4 linked regions of the Drosophila melanogaster genome follow. The protein of the gene in region 3 interacts with the protein of the main gene of each other region in a pairwise test. Each region holds a gene or a part of one and is shown on either strand. Other genes may lie near its edges.

Region 1 (4,330 bases), on a different chromosome or scaffold from region 3:
TGCTGCGCTATGTGGCGGCCACGAATCCCGGCATCCGTCTATAGAGCGGCTCGCTGGGCGTTCGCTGTTTGCCTAATTTTAAAGCTACTTATTATAATATTCCTTAAACGAGTTTTTGTATAATTTTTGTTTGTATGTGTACGACGAAAACGGAAGAAAGCAAGACAAATAGACTTTAGAATTTACAATTTCCGATCCTACAAACACCACAAAACCACCCACCCACCAAATCCACAATACTGCTTTCATCACACCTTAGCACCCAGCACTTAGTCTCACTTCTCCTTCCTCCCTACCTTCGAAACTGCCAATTTTACGCGTAGAATTCTATTCCGTTGTAAACAGTTGAGTCGTTTTCAGATCGCACCTTAAATATTTATAGGCAATCCTAAATTGCAAGTGTTTCGCTCTGACCCACTGTCTGTCATTCAAGCAAGAAATTCGGAATCTCTTTAGTATTTTGTTTGAGACACTCATGTTTTGTCCACAAAGAGATTGAATAAAATTTTGTAAAGATCCCATAAAAAAGAAAACACTTGAATTAATACTTTGGTTTTTATTGGCAATGGTTGTGCTGATGATCGGGTGTTGTGGAGTTGTGATGATGATGATGCCTCTTTGATCTGCGATCGTCATGTGAAGATCCCGAGGAGCTGTGCTCTCTTTTAGAGCGCACGGAACTCCGGTCACTTCTTGACCTGGAATGATGATTCCGCTGTTGGTTGTTTTTGAGATCCCGACCTCGGTTGCCCAAGTCCTTGGAGTTTTCCAGTTCAACCTCGGGGCTTGCCGACCAGCGCCAGTTCCTGCCGTGCTCGCTGTGCTCATCCCAACTGAAGAGATAGGGAAAGTATTTAAATAGTTTGCCGGAATATAAACTAATATTATATTTAAATCCACCTGGGTGTCTTGGCCGTTGGAGTTTGGCTGGAGCGTCGTTCACTGCGTGGACCGCTGGTGTACTCCAGTTCCGTGTTGAACAGGTTGTTCGGATTGCCAAACAGGTGCAGATAGCCGCAGTCGTTACCTTTGGGACATTTACGTGTTAAGGACAAACCTTTAAGAAGTCACAGATTGTGTTAAAGAAAATGGTATTAAAACATATGAATGGGCTTGCTTTGAGTTTTGGTTTTTTAAAGGATACGGCTTCCTCTTGGCATGCAGTTCACGTACCGCAGACTGCGCCGCGCCAGGTCCTCAGATTGGAGAACTCCACGTTTAGTCGCTTGGAGGCGTAGTAGCGACCTTGGAGATTGGTAAATGCGCGAAGTGCAGATCTGAAATCATGACGTACGCTTTATAATAATTAGTTTATGACCTCTTTAGACATTATTAACATAACATAAAAGTATGCAAGCGCAGAGACAATACAATATATATATTTTTTGGCGAGAGAACAGGTATAAATTAAAATTGTGAATTATATGAATTAACTTTTACATGAAAATGCTGGGAAATAGGCTGCATTTGAATATCCGAATTGCTTGCATATAAACAATGTCATATTAATTAAATAATAATAATGATAATTAATACTCTCAGACAAACCGTTCGTTTGTGTACTCCACAAAGACGTGACCCCTGAGGTGTTCCAGCGTATTGCGCACCGTGCGGAAGTTGACAATGGTGCCGAACTTTCTCAGTTCTTCGACGACATCGTTGAAGAACTCATCGTAGTCGTGGCGCAGATCCTGTTCGGTCAATTCCAGGTGTTCCTCCGCCGAGGCGTACTCCTTGTGCGTGCATCGCTTCTGCAGCATGGAATGGTTGAAGAAGTGCCGGATGAGAAGGATCCTTCCCAGCATCGGGCGGCGATGGTTGAAGGTGCAGGCGTGACCGTAGCGGCAACAGTTGGTGCGGCTAAAGAACTCGCAGGCTCGTTCCTCCGGATGCGTCTCCATTACACGCAGAAGGTGGCTGGGTGGCTTCTCGATACGCGGGTTGTTCAGATACTCATCCATGCTCTCCATCATGGCATCGAATTCGGCGGCAGCCTTGGCGGCTTTTCGTGTCTCTTCCTCGCGCTGCTTCCGCTGTCTCTCCTCCCGTTCCGCCCGCTCTTTCGCCTGTTCCCGCTGCAAACGCTCCACTTCCTCCTGCTCCTGACGCTTCTTCGCCTCGTCCATTTGGAATTGTCGCTGCGCTGTGGCTTCGCGTCGCAGCCAGGACTCCTCCGCCAACTGGCGCTCCCGTTCGTCGGCTAGTCGTTGGAATTCCTGCATTTCCTCCTGTTCCTGCGACCATTTCTGGTACTCCGGCTGCATAAGTCTTTGGTTTTCCGCCTCTTCCTCCAGTTTATCACGTTCTTTGGCATGTTTTTGACGACGCCGCTTCCTCTGCTGCTTCTTGATTAACTTTCGCCGTGCCCTTTGTATAAATTATATACATTAAATTAAATTATACATTATATTTAAACAAATTTATAGTTATTTACTTCCTTCCCGGCATTTCGCAAAATCAAAACATTGAATTTCGGTGAGCAGCTGAAACGCATTTGTGAGAACACAGCTGATTAATACCGTGTACAGGGTCTATGAAAAATACCACAAAATACTGCAGCACGAAAAAAATTACATTTTTACATTTACATATTTTTCAAAGTTTTCATAAATCTGGCAAATCAAAAATGTTTTGTAAGTTTTCCCTCAAAATTAAGATTTCATATCATAAATGTTTAAAATTTACGAATTCTTACGATTTTTGTAATTCAAAATTTATTATAAATTATAACAGTCTAATATAACACCAAGTTTCGTTCTTGCTATAAAATGTAAAATAACATTGCTGTATAGCACAATGCCAAAAGCCTCAGTTCAACTTACACTGCTATAAATTATGTTATGTGATTTTTATAGCACTGTGTCGAAGAGCTTTTAAAATTTAATAGAAGCGCTTAGTTTGAATATTTTCTTGTTTATCAGATTTGTATATTTTGAATTGAACCGTTTATTCAAGCTTTTTCTCAATTCCCCCTTCCATCGAACCAGAAACTTTCGAACTCGAAAATTCCCCTCTGCAACAATGTTGCCAGCAACATTGTGTCCGGCGATTGCCGAAGATGCGAAAAAAAATCAAATTCAGTGATAAAGTAAAATTCGTGCGCGTCGGTTCACCTACACTTCGTGTCGCCAGAGAAAGCCTTTCTCCTGGCTTTCTCTCTGAGCTCTCCTTTTGCGCTCGGCTCCGAAATCCGAAGTCCGGAATTTGGACTCCGGCTCAAGCGCCGAATCGCCGAGCTTGGCTCACGGAAAACCAACTGAGTTGTGCGAAACTAAGTCAAAACAATTGATGTGAATTCTCGCGGCACAACTTGATATTAGATAAATGAAATAATTCGCGCCGCTGGCACTTTGAACTCGTAATCAGGTCGCAAGCATATTCACGGTTTTTTGTGTAGTAACCACAGGAATTCAAATTCATATTCGTTGAGATTCTCGCAATGCGGCTAATTGGATTTATTCTGAATTTGGCAGCCCTAACAGGTAAGTGGTTCTTACACTGGGAGAAAAAGAAAACAAATGTTATCTAAATACATAAAATAGCCTGATTCTAAAGCTAGCAATTAAGGGATATTTAGAAAACAATATTTTTGGATTTGATGCTATCAATCCATAGATGCTATATTAGTTGTAATAGTAGATTTTTGTAACCATCACTTATTGAAATGCAATTAAATAACTTAAATATAAACTTAAAGAAAGAAGAACATATATCGCAAATTAAAACAATATGTTCTTTACTTACAATTTTTTTCTGTACGCCTAAAAGGGGCATTTAATTTTCAATAATAAACGATTTGACCGCATTTGTTGCTCTAGTGTTACATTGGCTGAGGTGGTCATCGAGTTCTGGAGGGGATGTGGATGGGGATGAGGATGTGGCGACCTCTTCCGAGTTACGTTCTGCGTTTTATTTTCGGACCCATGAACGGTGTTTATTATGTTCTTGTCTGGTCGATGGACAGTTACGAGCTTTAGTAGTATTCATAATGTGGTTGTTGTGGTTTTCCGTCTTCCTCGTCGTCGTCGTGTCGTTACGTATTTATCAATATTTGCCCTCTGTATTTAGTTTTGTGGCTCAAGTGTCTCGTGGCTAATAGAAAATCGATGCTGGCACATTGTTGCACATTTCGCTGAAGTATCTCGAAGATACTGGGAAAGTATCTTGCCGCTTTGCAGCCCTTTTGCGCTGTTCTCACTGCTTTCTGTTGGATTTTTTGAAGTCGCTGTCAGTCAACGATGTTTGCTCTTAGTCTTTCGATCAATTTTCACTGCCTAAAAGCTGTCTGAGGGGTGTTAAGTCGCACTTGAATGGCATTTTCCATGGCCTG
Region 2 (3,074 bases), on a different chromosome or scaffold from region 3:
CGCCAGCTTGTCAGCGTCGCCCTGCAGCTTCTTCAGCATTCGCGCAGACATCCTTCAAGTGTCCTTATACCCCTTAGCAGGAATTCTATTTAATTTCGTCGCAAAATACGTGTGTATTTCGCTGTTTTTTTTTTCTTCACCACATTCGCTTTCGCACGGCTGCAGGGTTGCCGAGCTCTGTGGCCACGCGCGCTTCACAGCACTGGCCTAGACAGGTGGTCCCGTCTTGGCGGGAATTGAAAAAGAAGTTCTAAATTTTAGCAAGTGCTATACACCTATACGCCTTGCCTGTAGAAGTTGGATCAAACTTGACGTGTTATTCACAGAAATTTTAATAAGTTTACTTTTTGTCTCTTCATAAAGTGAAATAGGAAAAAGCATTTTAAATTGTTTTGAAAAAATTTATTTTTATTCGACATTTCCTATTTTAAACTTATTTACTTCTAGTAAAGTGAGAATATAACATCTTACGCATTTATTGGTATACAAGCATAAACTAATTATCTATCTCAAAATAGAATATGCAACCAAAATGTCCTTTATTGACAAATAATTTTCGTACAATTTCGGTGCAATTTACTGCCTTATGTTCTAAAAACTGCCATGATAAGGAATTTACAAACGAGTCTTGCCATAATAGGCGCCTGCGACAGCGGACAGTATAATGATTACTATGGCGGCCATGTAGAAGAAAGTGCGCCCAATCGCCTGGTCACGCAAGCCGTCGATCTGGTCTGTGAGGGCCATATGCTCGTCCTCCAGCATGCTGACTTGCTTGAGCAACTTGGCCATTGGCTCACTGACTTCCTGGGCATCAAAATGGACCTCTCCGTCCTTGTTGTCCGTGGATATTACAGCTGAACCTCCCGCCTGACGGAAATCGTCCTCCTTCGAAGGGACTAGCTCACATTTGATCTTGGTTTCCCGAGTTTCATTCGGGTTCTGCATCTTCCAAAACTCCTGCACATCGCTTATGTCACCAGTCACCTCGGCGGCCAGGAGAAGGAACTTATGACGCTTCTTTATCTGCTCCTGCAGAATTGGCTGCATGAATATGTCAACGCTGACCTTCTGCTCGGGCCCCAAGACACCGATGTTGGGGCGTACATAAAAAAGTTTTGGAGTGGTGGTCTTCATCTTGAAGGCCATTCGCTGGGTCTTACTGGTGTTCTTGATGACTAGCTTCCTGCTCACCGAGCGGTTGAATGGTCCCTCAAAGACGATCACATCGCACGGGTCTAGCGCAAGTTTGCTCTCGGTATTGTCGGACATATTGGAATATTTGTACCTTTTTATTTTTCAAAAAATCGGAAGCGATATGAACTGGAACCGATTATGACCAATATATGAAAAAATGTGGTACCAAATGAACACGTTCCCTGACAATGCCGTAGTGCAAATGACAGAAAAAGGAATGTGAAACTTTCCATTTCAGGGCTGAATTGAGTTCACATATTGCTTGATTTCGTATGAATTCAACTTTTCTGGTGTGGACACACTGGTCGGTTTTGAAAGTCATATGCGCAGCATCACTATTATAGATTGCAGCTATTAGCTTATGTTGCTTAAAGGAATGTCTTAAAAGCTATATTTTAGGCTAATTTCATAAATTATATACAAACCTGTCTTTAAATAATGTTCAAAAACTTTTTAGAACTTTTGCAAATTGTAGTTTTTTGTATTTGTAAGTTCAAGATGTTTAGATAACAACATGATTTCGAGTTTCAGATCGTTCGTTTTATTTGTTTTTTGTTTTATTAAATATTTACAAAAATTCGATACGTTTGTGTGACTGAATGTGTGTCAGGTGGGGGATGGTCCATCATTTACCAAAATATCATGCGCCCGGCATTGGGGGAGGTGGCCTTGGACAGAATGATGCCCGAAAGTTCCTCGTCCTCCATTTCGTTGCTGTTTCGAGTGGGAGGAGGTATGGGTAAGATACAAATTAAAAAATGTTTGACAGGACTCTTTCGATTTATGCAATTATATACACGTTTATTGGTATCGCTATTTGCTTTGATTGCTTTCTTTCTTTTTTTTGTTGCTTGCTTGGTAATAAATAACAATGAATGTTGGTTGTCGAGACGGCGGATGCTGAGTGTAGGCATCGTATTAATCTCACGGTGTGCGATGATGGGTTTTTCGAAATCGAAATCGATTCGATTTGGTGGGTGGGTGCTTTTGTGGGCGGGGGCAGTACAACAGGCACAACGATAACAACAGTTACAACGGATTGCGGTAGCCAATTTCGCTTTTATGGTCTACAAAAAAGTCCGGATATAGAGAAAGAAAGAGGGAAGAAATAAAAGTGATAAGATATATACAAATAAAACATTTCGAATTCCATTAAAGGCACAAACACAAATTCAAATGCAGAACGCAATACAAACATTGAACAAAACGTATAATATCGGTACATGCGATTGATGATATAGTATGGACTGATTAAGCAGGGGAACAGGGCTAAATAGGGCCAATAATACACATTTAGTTTGAATTAAGTCACATTTTATTTCCTTTTTTTTTTGTATGTATTTCGATTTTTTCGGCTTTCGTATTTAACTTTAGGCACTATTTAAATATTAAATATATATTGCAAAAATCAATAAAAATATGCCTTAAAAACTCCTGCGCTAAAAATTAGGTTTGTACAGCATGTTTTGTTGTAAAAATTTTGCATTAAGTAAATTTCGATTATACGTAGTTTAAATATCACTTATGTAAATATTTTCGTTTTAAGCCACACGGGTTAATTTTAAATTTTGCAATTTTTAGTTTACGTTTTGCGGACGGTTACAAGAACATGTTGCATTCGCGAAAAATGTACAAATTTTTAAACATATTATTTATAAATAGCATTTTAAATATAGAGTGTTTTCGCTCTCCAATATATTTTTGTTTCTTGTAGTGTTTAGAATTAGATGGTTTCTGTTTTGTGTTCTATAAATTAGGTTTCGTATTTATGCAGTCGTTAATTGTATTTTTCTTTTCATAAATTAGTTTTCGCAATTTAAATTCGCTTACTTATTTTTCAATAAAAAAATAATTATCAAAATCAACAACTAATCACA
Region 3 (7,833 bases):
GCCGCTGCTTGCTGAGGTTGTTGGTATTGTTGTGACTGCTGCTGAGTCTGCCAGATGCCCGTTTGTTGATGCTGCGGCGCCTGCTGTTGCTGATGGTGTTGACTGTACGTACTCCACTTGCCGCTAAGGGAGGCCTACAGGAACGATCGAGATCTTAGCCAGCTGTCATGCGTCGAGGATTTGGTCGCACACTTACCTTGCCTCCGCCAGGTGCTCCACCTTGTTGCTTGTACTGATCGTAGCCACCGCCTACAGCGGTGTTATTGCCATACTTGGGTAGCGATTGACCAGCTGACCGCTCATAGCCACCGCGACTATCTTCTTTGGTGTCGCGGTGGCCAGGCCGAAAATCCCGTTGTTGATGAGTACCACCTCCCGAGCGATAGCTACTCTGGCTGCTGCCCCGGTTCCGGTCGTTACTGCCCATTCGACTGCGGTCGTTGCCACGGTCTCGATCGCGATAGTCCCGCGAGCTGCCGTAGCCGCGGTCGTCATACCCACTTCTGCGGTTGTTCTGCATCCAGTTTTGCTGACCACCACCACCACCACCACCACCGCCGCCGCCGCCACCACCACCGCTGCCGCCTGCGTATCCACGGTTGCGATTGTCGTATCCACGACTGCCGCTTCCACCGCCACCATAGCCGCGATCATCGTACCCGCTTCTGCGGCTGTTCTGCACCCAATTTTGCTGGCCACCGCTACCGCTGTTGTAGTTGCGGCGATTGTCGTAGCCACGACTGCCGCCTCCACCACTATTGCTGGAGTAACCGCCACCGCCGCCTCCCCTGCGGGAGTCGCTCCAACGACTTTCGTGCCGCTGGCCGCCATAATCACGACGTCGGTCATCATTGTATCGATTCCGGTTCCGGTCATCACGACGATAGTTGTCGCGACTTCCTCGGGATCTCTTGTCACGCGACCTCTCCGCGTCAATGGCCTTTTTGCCCTTCTCGTTGTACTTCTTGACCTCGCTCTTGGCCTCGTCACCAGTCAGCTCCGTGTAGTTTATATCATCGAACCAGCCAAACTCCAGCGAGGGAAGTGTGAAGTTGGCTGGAAAAAGATTGCGTGTACATCATCAATAAGGCTGCACAATTGCTAAAATCGCTCATTATCATTACAGATTAGGAATTATTGTAGATGGAGTATAGAGGGAAAGAAGGGATCAACTTTGGCAACCGAACGTAAAAGGGCGCAAAAATTTCGATTTTCAAGAAATCCAGTTGTGAATAAAGTCCATCCTTTATACGTTCCAGTTGCCAAGTGGGGGTTGTTATAGAATAAATGTTAATGAATAATGGTAATAATAATAATCAAATTATGAGATATTTTGAAGGGCTTACAGTTACAATTACGTATAGATACATAAAGTGCAGCTGCTTACAAACTAAATACGTTACATAAGTTTTTATAATGTTTTTCATTTTAACAAGAATGCCTCCTTATTTAGATAGGTAGAATAATAAGTTATACGATCGTACATTATTCTGGATTTTTTTTTTCAATTCGTTGCTTTGGTGTGGTGGATAATATTTACCTCGTAAATTATTAATTGTTGATTCTTTAACTGTAAAAGCATTTCCCTTTTCCTCTTTTTCGGCGATGCGACGTTTCAATTCATCTTCGCTGGGTATGCAAACGACCGCAATTCGCTTGAAGTCGTTAAAACCCTTCATTTTACGTCGCTGGGCCGAGGCATACACATTGGTCTACAAGAATACAGTTGGTTGATCGGTTGGTTGGTTGGTGTTGTTTGGTTGAATTGGGTTCAGATTTTGTCTGCCAGTTGTTGTTTGGTTGGATTTGGTTTGGTTGTTGTTGGGACAGTCGTCGAACTTGAGAAACACGTTGATGATACGGCTCGGTTGGAGACCTCGGTCTACCGGGATCGAACCCAACTCGCATTGAGCTCGCTTGCTTTCAGCGCTTATAATCTAACACATACCTGTTGCACGGCGGGACACCCACTTCCCGCCCACACTCCGCCGGCAAGGGAGCGGGGCCTTACGGAAGCGGTGCGCGCACACCAACATAATACCTAGGGGGCGGCGACGGGTTAATGTTAACCCGGCCACATCTAACAACAGTTGACTTAATACTTTGCATAAGGATAACAGAATGTACTATGGGGGAAAAGTAGTCGCGGTTGGCTGTGCTGCTGGCTGTAGGATGAAGCATCGCATAGCTTTCTGTAGATACACATACATATATATGAGAATAGTTGGCATTTAGAGAGAGAGATAGAGTAGAGATAGTAGGTACTAATACGTATATGTGATTAGATTGTAGGCGAACGACTCGTCGATCGGATTTGTGTTTGTCTACTTACAGTGGCATCCATGCCGCTCGCTCCTCCTCCTCCTCCTTCTTCCATACTTTACTTCACTCCATTCCATTACACTCACTCATCTTTCTCCAATGCCATTTCCATATCCATATCCACTTCCATCCCCACTTTTCTTACAATTCCCTCTTAACTGCCCCGTCAACTGTTGCGCCTGCACGTAAAACTTAAGCTAATGGGAAGTCCACAGATACTTACTGCCTCAAACTTAAGCACTCTAATTATCGGATCGACTTACAATTAGGACATACCTGCACGTTGGTGCCCCTTCTAGGGGCACTTGGGCACTCTATTAAGTTAGAGCGATGAGCAAAAAAAAAATGCATACTCAAATGTACAATTAAAAAATATATAGCGCAACATTGCTGTGCCCCGCTGGTGGAACCCCTCAATCCCGAGGGGATCAGAGCCCCAGTGTGTTGGGTGGGCGCCAAAGTCATCATCAACGTATAATTCTCGCTTGTTTCGTTTTGTGTTTGGTTATCGTTCGTTCATAGTGTAATCTTGTGTGTTTGTGGGCTGGTGTTTTGTTTCGGGTGTATGTAGGTCATTTGTTAATGGTTTACCTGATCAAGTATGAAATTTCGACGCCGCTTCATGGCAATATCTTCCAGAGCCGCCAAGCTATTTAAGCATATCTCGTACACCTTGTCCCATCGACCTTTGTGCACAGTCTTGCGAGAGGCGCCATCGATCTGCAAATATATTGGTCAGTACTGAATATCTTCAGCGCCTAGCTATGTACATTTATTAACCAACTTACTGTCATCTTTGAAATGAATGCGTCGGGTCCAATCAACTCGTAACGCTTGTCAGCATTCTCGGCCACATGCTTATGGGCCCAATGGGTCTTTCCGGCTCCTGGCAAGCCAACCAGTAAAATGACTTCGCACTCCTTGCGAGATCCGACGCGTTGTGGACCGGAAACCAGCTTTTCGACAGGTACTAAGCCGATCAATACATAGCCTTCCAGCAGGGCAGCTGTATCCCTTGGCTCGGGCACGACATCCTCGTACTCATCTTCGGTCGTCTGCGACCTGTCCTTTTCCTTTTCGGATTCAGCCTTTTCCGAATCTCCATCGGTTTTGGGTCGCTTGTTCGGCGAGGGGCCATCCTCATCTTCTTCATCATTGTTTTCGGAGGGTTTCTTATCCTCAGATGCCTTTTCATCGTTTGCCTGTTCTGCAGCAGCATCACCATTTGACACAGCTGCAGTTTCTGACGACTTTTCGGTAGAAGTTTCAGCTAAAAGGAAAACCCAAAATATTAGCATTTTGTGGGATAACTGATTTTCAATCAATCATTACTCACCAGTTTCCGAAGCCTCGGTAGCTTCTGATTCGGGCTTAGCAGCTTCAGCAGGAGCCTCGACTTTAGTTTCGGCTTCTGTTTCCGTTTTTGGCGCCGCCTCATCCTCTTTGGCTTTTTCAGGATCTTCGGCTTCCTCTTCATCTTTCTCCGAAGAAGCCTTGCCATCTTCATCCTTTTTCTCCACCTCATCATCATCCGCCGTGGCTTCGTCCAAGACCTTCCACTTCTCGCCATCGTTGTCATCCTTATCGTCGTCCTTATCCTTGTCTTCGTCTTTACGTGGCTTGCGGCGCTTGCGCGTGGGCCTCTCGGCATTCACCAACAGCTGCTCGGTGTCAGAGAAATTCACTAAGTATTCGTAGCCCTTGGTAACGATGTGCGGAAACAGGGCTCCCTCCTCGCCCAGTATGCTCTTCTCAAACTCGAACGCAACTCCAAGATCCTCGCCGTTCAGAGTGTAGTTAATTGTGCACGGCTCACTTTCCAGATCTAAATAGCAGCCGATAACGTCATCCAGCTGGTAAGGCTTGCCGTAATCGGTAAACTCGCTCTGAGTAGCCTTACGCCCGGTCTCGCAATAGCCAAATGAATGCTCGGCCTCGCCTAGCAACAAGGAGCTCTTGGGCATTGAAAATCCCACGCGGAATCCTCGCACATGCGGCTCATCGCGGAAGTAGTGCGAGTTCTCCGGCACCGACTCCTCGGAAAGGCGCACCTCAAAGCACACTTTGCCTTCGCGCACTCCGTAGTTTGCGCGGGCTCCGGACCAAATAAGCGAGTAAATTTCCGATGTCAGGGGTTTGGCCGATGCAAACGTGGTTGGGTCGATGCGTAAATGCAAGTCAGAGTCCACTGGAATATAAAAACAAAGGGATATTAGTTACTGTGAATGATGGATCAAGCTTTGAACGTTAAGGAATGTGTGTATCGAATTCGTTGCAAACAGCAAGTCTACTTACGCCAGCTCAATCCGACTTTGTTCTCCTCGATGGTTGGCTCGTCCTCAGGAACTGTGCGTTCCTCGGCCGCTGCCTTTGACTCACGCTTGTCACCTACGCTGCCGCGATGTTTGGACGAGCGGGAGCCACTGCGCGATCGGGATTTGGACCGACTGTGTGATCGCTTGCGGCGTTCCGGGGGCTGATCCTCAGGCTTAGCTGCTGGCTCGGTCTCCTCCGCCGTTTTCGGGGCGGCCGAATCCTCCTCATCAACGTCCATTTTCTGGCTGTCGCCATTTGACTGATGCTCGGCCACAGTGCTCTCGGCTGGTTTCTCCTCTACAGGCTCCTCAGTTTGTGTAGGTTCCTGCTCCTCAGGGGCAGCATCATGATCCTCTTCCATGGGTTCATCAGCCACTTCATTCTGTGGTACGACGGCGGGTACTGCCTCTTCGATTGTCTCCTGCTTGTCGTCTGTCTCCGACTTTTCATCAAACTCTTCGGGCTCAGGCTGCGACTCCTCATTGACCGCTTGGTTGACGGTTGTGTCCTCTGTCACTGCTGCAGCTGGCTCAGCTTCCTCCGGCTCACTTTGTTCTGGTTCCGGCTCGGCTGCTGGCTGTTCACTTTCTGGTTCTGGCTGTGGCACTGTCTTATCCTCCGGCTGCTCCTCCTCTTCGAGAGTATCGAGCACTGGTTCTGCGGCCACGGGAGCAGCTTGCACCGGCGATGGAGAGCGGGACATAGAGCGCGTGCGACGCTGACGGCGGCTTGGTGTGACCGGCGCATTTTCTGGACGCGGGAAAAGTGAAATGTGATTACTTTATCATTATATAAGGAAAACTTACAACTAACTCACGCTCAGTCGCACACAAACAGAAACCGAAACACAAGCATGACTTGGACGCGGCAAAGCACACGCACACAGTGACACCCACACACATACACACTGGAACAATCGGGCGGTCAAATGACGCATACACACAAACTTACCACCGTCGCCGGCTCCTCCTTCCACATATGCCCTCAGGCGCTCGACGAGCACCGCTTTGACTCCTTTGGTGTCCAGGCCGCGCGACTGGAGCTCGTTGCGCAGGTCCACCACCTTCATCTTCTCCAGCTTCGCCACATCCATTCTTGCGCTTCAATTTGGATTGGCGGCAGAAACACACACGCTTATTCACTCAATGTGCACCGCTGAAAAGCTGGCGATGTGAAAAACTGAATTGGGGGAATTTCGGGCCAAATCACGCTGTCTGGCAAATGACACCCACACTGGAAATGTCACCGTAGTCAAGTCGCAATGGTTGCTAGCACCGTGCGCGCACAATTAAAACGCAATATTCGTTTTTACATTCGCATTTGTTGCGAATAAATAAATGGACCTAAATATTATACCGAACGCGTTGAAGTGAAGTTGGCTGCGATTGGGAAAACGAAAACGTAGAGCTACCGTGCTTGGGTTCGATACTTGTGCTTGGTGGCTATCGATAACAGGCTGAACATCACTAGCGATAGAAGGCGCTTGTGTGCATCAACCGTTTGCATGTGCGCTGCAAGAAAATATTTAATGATTGAATGATTTGTAGTAAATACTATATCAATAAAAATTAATAGGCAAAGTCAATGTTTATTTCAAAACATAATTAATAGTATTAAAACCTGCATAACAAAGTGTTTTTCGTAAATTGACTTTAGGTATAATGGCTGTTTGGCACAGGCATTAACAACGACTCCGTGGCGCAACGGTAGCGCGTCCGACTCCAGATCGGAAGGTTGCGTGTTCAAATCACGTCGGGGTCAAGCAATTGATGTTTTTTTTTCATTATTTTTAGTTTGCAAACTATATAAAATAAATACGAATTTAAGATTTCAAAAAAAAAAAACAGTATACAAAATTTGCATCGGCCGGGAATCGAACCCGGGCCGCCCGCGTGGCAGGCGAGCATTCTACCACTGAACCACCGATGCTTAAATACTAGATGTCTTACCTTCAATATAAGCTTGGATTGCAAATCCATTGGGTCATTTCTATAAATTGCTAAAATAGTTTAAGGTTGATTAATAAAATGTAATGCTGAAATAAAACTAACTTAATACGCAGCGTTGCTAATATACTTATTACGAAAAACTGCATGTTTTTTATATTATACCATTTTCCTAACTTGTTATAACATCCTAACTTCCTAACTTTTGTAACATCGATTGTGGCCATGCCCCTTCAGCAGAACAAGTGCTCATTAACACTCACTTATAATTAAATTTGAAATATATTTTATCGACATGCCATACTCATGTCGCTATAAAATCTATAAGTTAAAGATGCACAATCCAAAATTTCGCAATTGGAGCGTTTAAATTCAGGAATATGTCTTTTTGGTGGATGATACAAAGCCTTTTGATCCTGTGGACAGTGTCAGTGGTAAGAATAAATAAAATAATCAATAAAGAAATTTGTGGCAATAATATATTTATTTTTAATTTTTAGGGATCAAAAAAAAGCAACTATGAAGTCCGCTTTGAGTCGATAGATGCCGTAAAAGGAAGTACCGAAACCCTTTTTCTATACCAGCTACGATTGCTCGGTAGAAACCGCATGATAAATGGAACTCTTATTTTCTTAGAAGACTTGGACGAAACGTTCGACGTCCTTTTCGAATCCCACGCATTTAAAAATGGATATTGGGTCAAGGGAATCGTGAACGCCGCCGCCAGCAAACCCTGCGAATTTTTCAATCGCTACTACATTTCCTTTTTCCTAGTAAAATCGACCGAATCGAATTTACCCACTACCGGTGCTGAAATGTGTCCTTTTCGAAAGGGTACATATTTTGTGAAAAACGGCGTTGTTTCTACCGAAGATTGGCCACCCATTGTCTTTAAAGGTCTTAACAGATTCACCATTTCGTATCTAAAAAATGGCGAATGTGTTGGTGGAGTTCAGTTAACAATTAGTATAGCAGAAATCATCACATAGTCTTAAAAATTTATAATACCACGAAAAAATATATGGCATAAATGAAAACTCAATTATTTCTCTGTGTGTGTGTGTATGTATAGCCAAGCCATTTTTATATATTTTTCTTCTTACATTTTTGATTACAGTTTATAGTTACAGCTAAAATGATTGCATTCGAAATTGTTTCGTTTCGTTTACACGGAATATGCGCATATATATTTAGCTAAGAATCTCTTTTAAATAGTAATAGGTTCTTTAATGGGGTTCACATAAATATT
Region 4 (4,602 bases), on a different chromosome or scaffold from region 3:
GCAGGCCTCATCCAGGGCTATGAATTATCCCCTCTTGTTTACATTGAACTATTTTTGGGGGCTCTTTCCAAAAGTCAACGAGATGAGTCCAAGGTCTATGATTGTCTTGTACGAAGTGTTTATATGAATTTAGCTAGAGCTACTTCTAGAGATAGCCAGCTATCCTTATCCTTGTGGGTTTGTCATCAGGCATATCCCGATAGATTAAACCCCAAGGAGTGGGAGCTGTTTGTGAACAATTTCATGGGTAGTTCTGATGGCAGTATGGTGCTAAGTCAGCTTGGAAAACTGCCCGACTGCATGCCCAAGGAAGCGCAATTAAAGCTGGCTATGTTACTCCAATTGTTCCCAGATTTGCGAAGCAAGCTCCAGTTGGAGAAGGACTATATCTGGCGCGGATTCATTGAGGCTCAAGCGGATGATGTGCTACGTAAGTTGTAGAAATAATTTAGTTAATTTCATCTTATTCAGATTTATTTTCGAACTTACAGCTGCGTTGGGGTCCAGCTTCCAGCGTGTGCTTATTGCTCAGATTTTCCGACCCGACTTGATGCTTCACCAACTGCGAAAAGTGAGTAGCGATCTGCTGGGAATTTCCCCAGATGCCTCCACCCAACCTTCTGTGGAGCAGTTGCTGCAGCAGAGCAGCTGTGATCGCCCGATTTTGATGGTTAGTCATGCGGAAAATGATCCAACAACTGAATTGAGAAAGTGGGCCAATCAAAAGTATAGAGAAATGGCTATTGGAAAAGGTGTTGAGAAAAGAGTTCTCTCCGAAATGCGTCAGGCTGCCATAGATGGCCACTGGTTATGCGTTAAGAATGTCCATTTGGTGCCGGAATTTCTAACTCAAATGGAAAGGGAATTAAGTGAAATTCAAAAATCGAAAGACTTTCGATTGTGGCTATTGTGCGAATCAACCGAGGGATTTTCCGAAGCTGCCATTTATAAATGCCTTAAAGTACGTTATGAGCAGCCTAAGGGACTAAAGCAGATTGTGATGCGTTTGCTCCAGAACTTCGCTGCTGAACAGGATCAAAAGCTTAAAAACCAACCAAAGAGCCTCAAGATGAGACTGGTTTATTTTGTCCTAACAGCTGTGCTTCAACAAAGGCGACAGTTTATACCACAAGGTTGGTCAAAATACTATGAATTCGGTGAGGCAGATCTAAAAGCGGCTCTGGGTATCCTAAGAATGATGGATCAGCAACTTAATTCAGGAAAATGCGATTGGTTGCTGATGCAACGTCTCAGTGAAGCCCTCGCTTATGGCGGAAGAGTAAATAATCAGAGGGATCTGGAGATACTCACAACCTATCTGAACCAGTTTTGTTCAGCGGACGTCTTAAGCAATCGTTGGTCACCTCTTGGATTATCTCTATCCATACCAACTAGCGGTCAACTGCAGGACTACTACGCTGCATTGGAGAAACTTCCTGACACAGATGAGCCCAGTATGTATGGTTTGGCCAATCAGGCACAACAGCAACGCGAAATTGAACAGGCCAAAAGAGTGATAAAGGAACTCAGGGGATTGCATTACGGAAGAGGCTTGGCTAAGGATTCTGGAGGAGCAGGAGAGTCTAAGGGAAACGATCAGCTCACTGGTCGTCAGAAGCTGGAACAGCAAATTAAACCCCTACTGAATCTATGGAGAAAGTTGGCGGCTTCGTGTACCATAATCCAGACTATGAAGGAGGCAAAAACTGATGTGGGTGAATCTCCCTGGGCACTTTTTGTGCTGGCTGAACTGAAACTAGGGGCGGATCTCTACGGCATAGTTCACCAGACTTTGTCGCAGATGCATGCCTGGCTTAAGGAGTCGCAGGAGGTGGATGGCAGCACTCTGAGAACTCTGGCAGAACAGCAGGTAAGAAACTGGGGTACAGTAACGTAACTTGAAAATGCATAATAAACTGAAATTCATAGATTCCTGCCAGTTGGCTTAAACTATGGCCTGGACCTGGCAGCAACAGTGCCGTGGACTTTTTAAGAGCCCTAATCGTTCGAGCCCAGGCTGCCGAACTTCGATTCCGGGAGCAAATGCATCTGGATTTTGTAGAGGATATCAATTTCGTCCAGGTGTTTAACTGTGAGAACCTGTTGTCCTGTTTAAAGCTGCTGCAGTCTCGAAAACTGGCAGTTTCCACCGAACGCCTGGAGTTGCAAACTTGCGGCTCCTCAAACTTGGAAAGTGATTCTTCGGACATAATACTCAAGCTGGCGCCGCTAAAGGTGAGTAAGAATTAGTATCTTTAACCGATAATGTTTTGACATCAAGTTGTGAAATCAAATTCAGCAAGCCACTTACTCATGATTCAAGGGGTTATGTCTTCTATGTCTTCTTCTTTAGCGACTAAGAATATATTTCGAAGCCATAAAAGGAAATTTAACTAATCGCAGGATAATCAGCCAAGAAATTGCCATAACTATAATATTCGCGGTAGATGGCGCATTGGTTAAGTTGGGGATAACCATTAAATATCATAAGCCCTCGAGAAGCGTTACAGTAAATACAATAAACATTGAGAAATAATTTTGGGATACATTTTGCCAGGTTGCTATATCAGATACAATTGGATGCACACGTAGTAGTAGTAACAGTAACAATACTCTGTTACGGATTACCTGGATAGTAGATATGCATACATCCATAGTCCAAATTGATTCCCCCAATCCAAAATCCCAAAAGATACTTATTTATCTTTTGGGACGAAGACTGATGACATCTTCTCTCCCTCTTGCCCGTTTGCTTCTTGTCTTTGTTCCTCACCTTCCCCATTTTGGCCATAAAATGTGTCTCCATCGCCGTCTCCATTCTGGCCGTTTCCATAGCTTCCGTATCCGTAATCCTGCGCCTCCTGTTTTCGGTGCGCCGCCGCCGTTCAATGCATCGAAATTAAGCTTGAAATGTGCACTGGATGCCCGTTCTTTTCAGTTTTCTCACGCCGCTTTTTTTGTTTTCATTTGATTGACATTCCGGTACAAGAGGGGGAATTAGAGATGGCACCTTGTCCGATGCCTATCGATAAGCAGTTCTGAGCACAAACTTACATTTTACTTTCCCTTCTCGTTTGTATATCTACGTATTCGATGCCAATCGATAATCGGTTTGGAAGCTGACTATGGGGAGTGCATCCGCTATGCCCTGATGGGTGTACCTGCTAGAACTAACACTGTAAAAAAACAAATAACTATTTTTTTGTATATACATTTTAGGACTTGGAGAATAAACTTTGCAAATCATCTACCCGCTTTTCGCCTTTTTTTTTGTTTTTAGCAATTGTGAATATATGTAATGTGGAATATATCTAAGTATTTCATTAGTAACTAAACTTGGCACTATTCATTTTCCATTACAGATTGATGGCGCCCAGAGTGGAATGGGAAAATCGAACCCCTTCTACATCAAGTACAAAATAAAAGACGAAGTACAAAATGTCAGTCATACGACTACTAGTTCCTCAAAATACGGCAAAAATTCGCTATATTCCACGCAAAATGCTGAATCGAAGCCCAAACTCCCATTATATTCTCGGAGCAGTCGCGACAAATTGATTTGCCACCTAAATGTTGATATTGTGACCGGAACTGCGGAACAAATTCTCTTGGCCGGAACAGCGCTAATAGTCGAAGATTATTAAACACCACTCAATATTATTTTATACCAATATATTTCAAATATATATGTAGAGAAGCGAAGAATGTGTTGGACTGACACTTGAATAGCAATTCACCTTCGCAAATATTAAATAAAAACCAAACGAAACTCTTTTAACATTAGTTTCCTACCCTTGACACGCTGTCATTTGGGTCCCAACTAATTCTAAGTAAATATTTAAACAACTAACAATTAGGCAGCCAAAGGCAAACATAAAAATGGGCCATTAAACATTTAAGGCGAGGACTTAGACTCTGAAGAGCTAATTGATTTCCATATGTCTCAGTGTCTGTGTTTATTCGGGGATGCCCCTAAAAATTAATTTGCCACCGCCGAAGGGATTTTATTGCGTCCTGTGTCCCTCATAATCTGCTCATATTAAACTAATTGCCGTAAATTTCAACAACAAACTGCCATAAATGTCGGGCATACTTTTAGTTGCCAAGACATCCCCGACATCCCCCAGGCCCAAAACCATTTTACCGTCAAAAACTTGTCTTAACTTTAATTAAGTGGCATTATGTTCAATTAGGCAAAAGTTTCCAATATGCAAATTAACACAATTTGAGTGTAAAGTGCCTCCCGGTACCGAGAAGGGGGCGTGGCAGCCGGCTTCTGTGGCATATAAATTGCCCTCCGCACAAATCACAGTGCCTCGTATCGGTGGGCGTGGCAGTTTGTTAACACATTTTGCAAATTTAGCTATGCAGACTTCTCAGATTTTGTTGTACGCCTTTCCCAACTTGTTGTGCTGTCGGCTATTGAGAATAAATAATTTATTACGCTTCAAATGGAAATTTAGTTGCGGATTAAGGAATTAGGCAGCGCGATAAGGCTGAAAAGGTAATTGAGTAAGGATATAAAGTGAATGTGTATATCAAAAGATACATAAACTCCGCTCCGAACTTCAAATCCAATTAGCTACAAGGAAGAACAGTTTA

Evidence for each region.
Region 1: the proteins of CG30122 (region 3) and CG3294 interact in a two-hybrid assay, tested with the Drosophila melanogaster proteins (one large-scale study listed by BioGRID).
Region 2: the proteins of CG30122 (region 3) and fan interact in a two-hybrid assay, tested with the Drosophila melanogaster proteins (one large-scale study listed by BioGRID).
Region 4: the proteins of CG30122 (region 3) and CG5674 interact in a two-hybrid assay, tested with the Drosophila melanogaster proteins (one large-scale study listed by BioGRID).

What each region holds. Positions count from the first base shown.
Region 1 is NT_033779.5:4,792,790-4,797,119, reverse strand, and holds CG3294 (uncharacterized protein), read right to left. Parts: upstream 2,463-4,330; 5' UTR 2,449-2,462; coding exon 2,435-2,448; intron 2,368-2,434; coding exon 1,549-2,367; intron 1,278-1,548; coding exon 1,174-1,277; coding exon of another isoform or gene 1,166-1,173; exon of another isoform or gene 1,145-1,165; intron 1,058-1,144; coding exon 901-1,057; intron 834-900; coding exon 557-833; 3' UTR 539-556; downstream 1-538. Other genes in the region: slf (schlaff), read left to right, coding at 1-44; fipi (factor of interpulse interval), read left to right, coding at 3,440-3,482.
Region 2 is NT_037436.4:8,107,476-8,110,549, reverse strand, and holds fan (farinelli), read right to left. Parts: upstream 1,419-3,074; 5' UTR 1,273-1,418; coding exon 616-1,272; 3' UTR 507-615; downstream 1-506. Other genes in the region: Nulp1 (nuclear localized protein 1), read right to left, coding at 1-51; Sarm (sterile alpha and armadillo motif), read right to left, coding at 1,827-1,911.
Region 3 is NT_033778.4:18,633,230-18,641,062, forward strand, and holds the start of CG30122 (uncharacterized protein), read right to left. Parts: upstream 6,042-7,833; 5' UTR 5,732-6,041; coding exon 5,590-5,731; intron 5,389-5,589; coding exon 4,618-5,388; intron 4,511-4,617; coding exon 3,659-4,510; intron 3,593-3,658; coding exon 3,111-3,592; intron 3,043-3,110; coding exon 2,914-3,042; intron 1,713-2,913; coding exon 1,541-1,712; intron 1,057-1,540; coding exon 197-1,056; intron 135-196; coding exon 1-134. Other genes in the region: CheA56a (chemosensory protein A 56a), read left to right, coding at 6,965-7,018, 7,085-7,573.
Region 4 is NT_033779.5:17,961,777-17,966,378, reverse strand, and holds the start of CG5674 (uncharacterized protein), read right to left. Parts: upstream 3,001-4,602; 5' UTR 2,834-3,000; coding exon 2,774-2,833; intron 2,236-2,773; coding exon of another isoform or gene 1,930-2,235; intron 1,871-1,929; coding exon of another isoform or gene 492-1,870; intron 431-491; coding exon of another isoform or gene 1-430. Other genes in the region: btv (beethoven), read left to right, coding at 1-430, 492-1,870, 1,930-2,235, 3,363-3,644.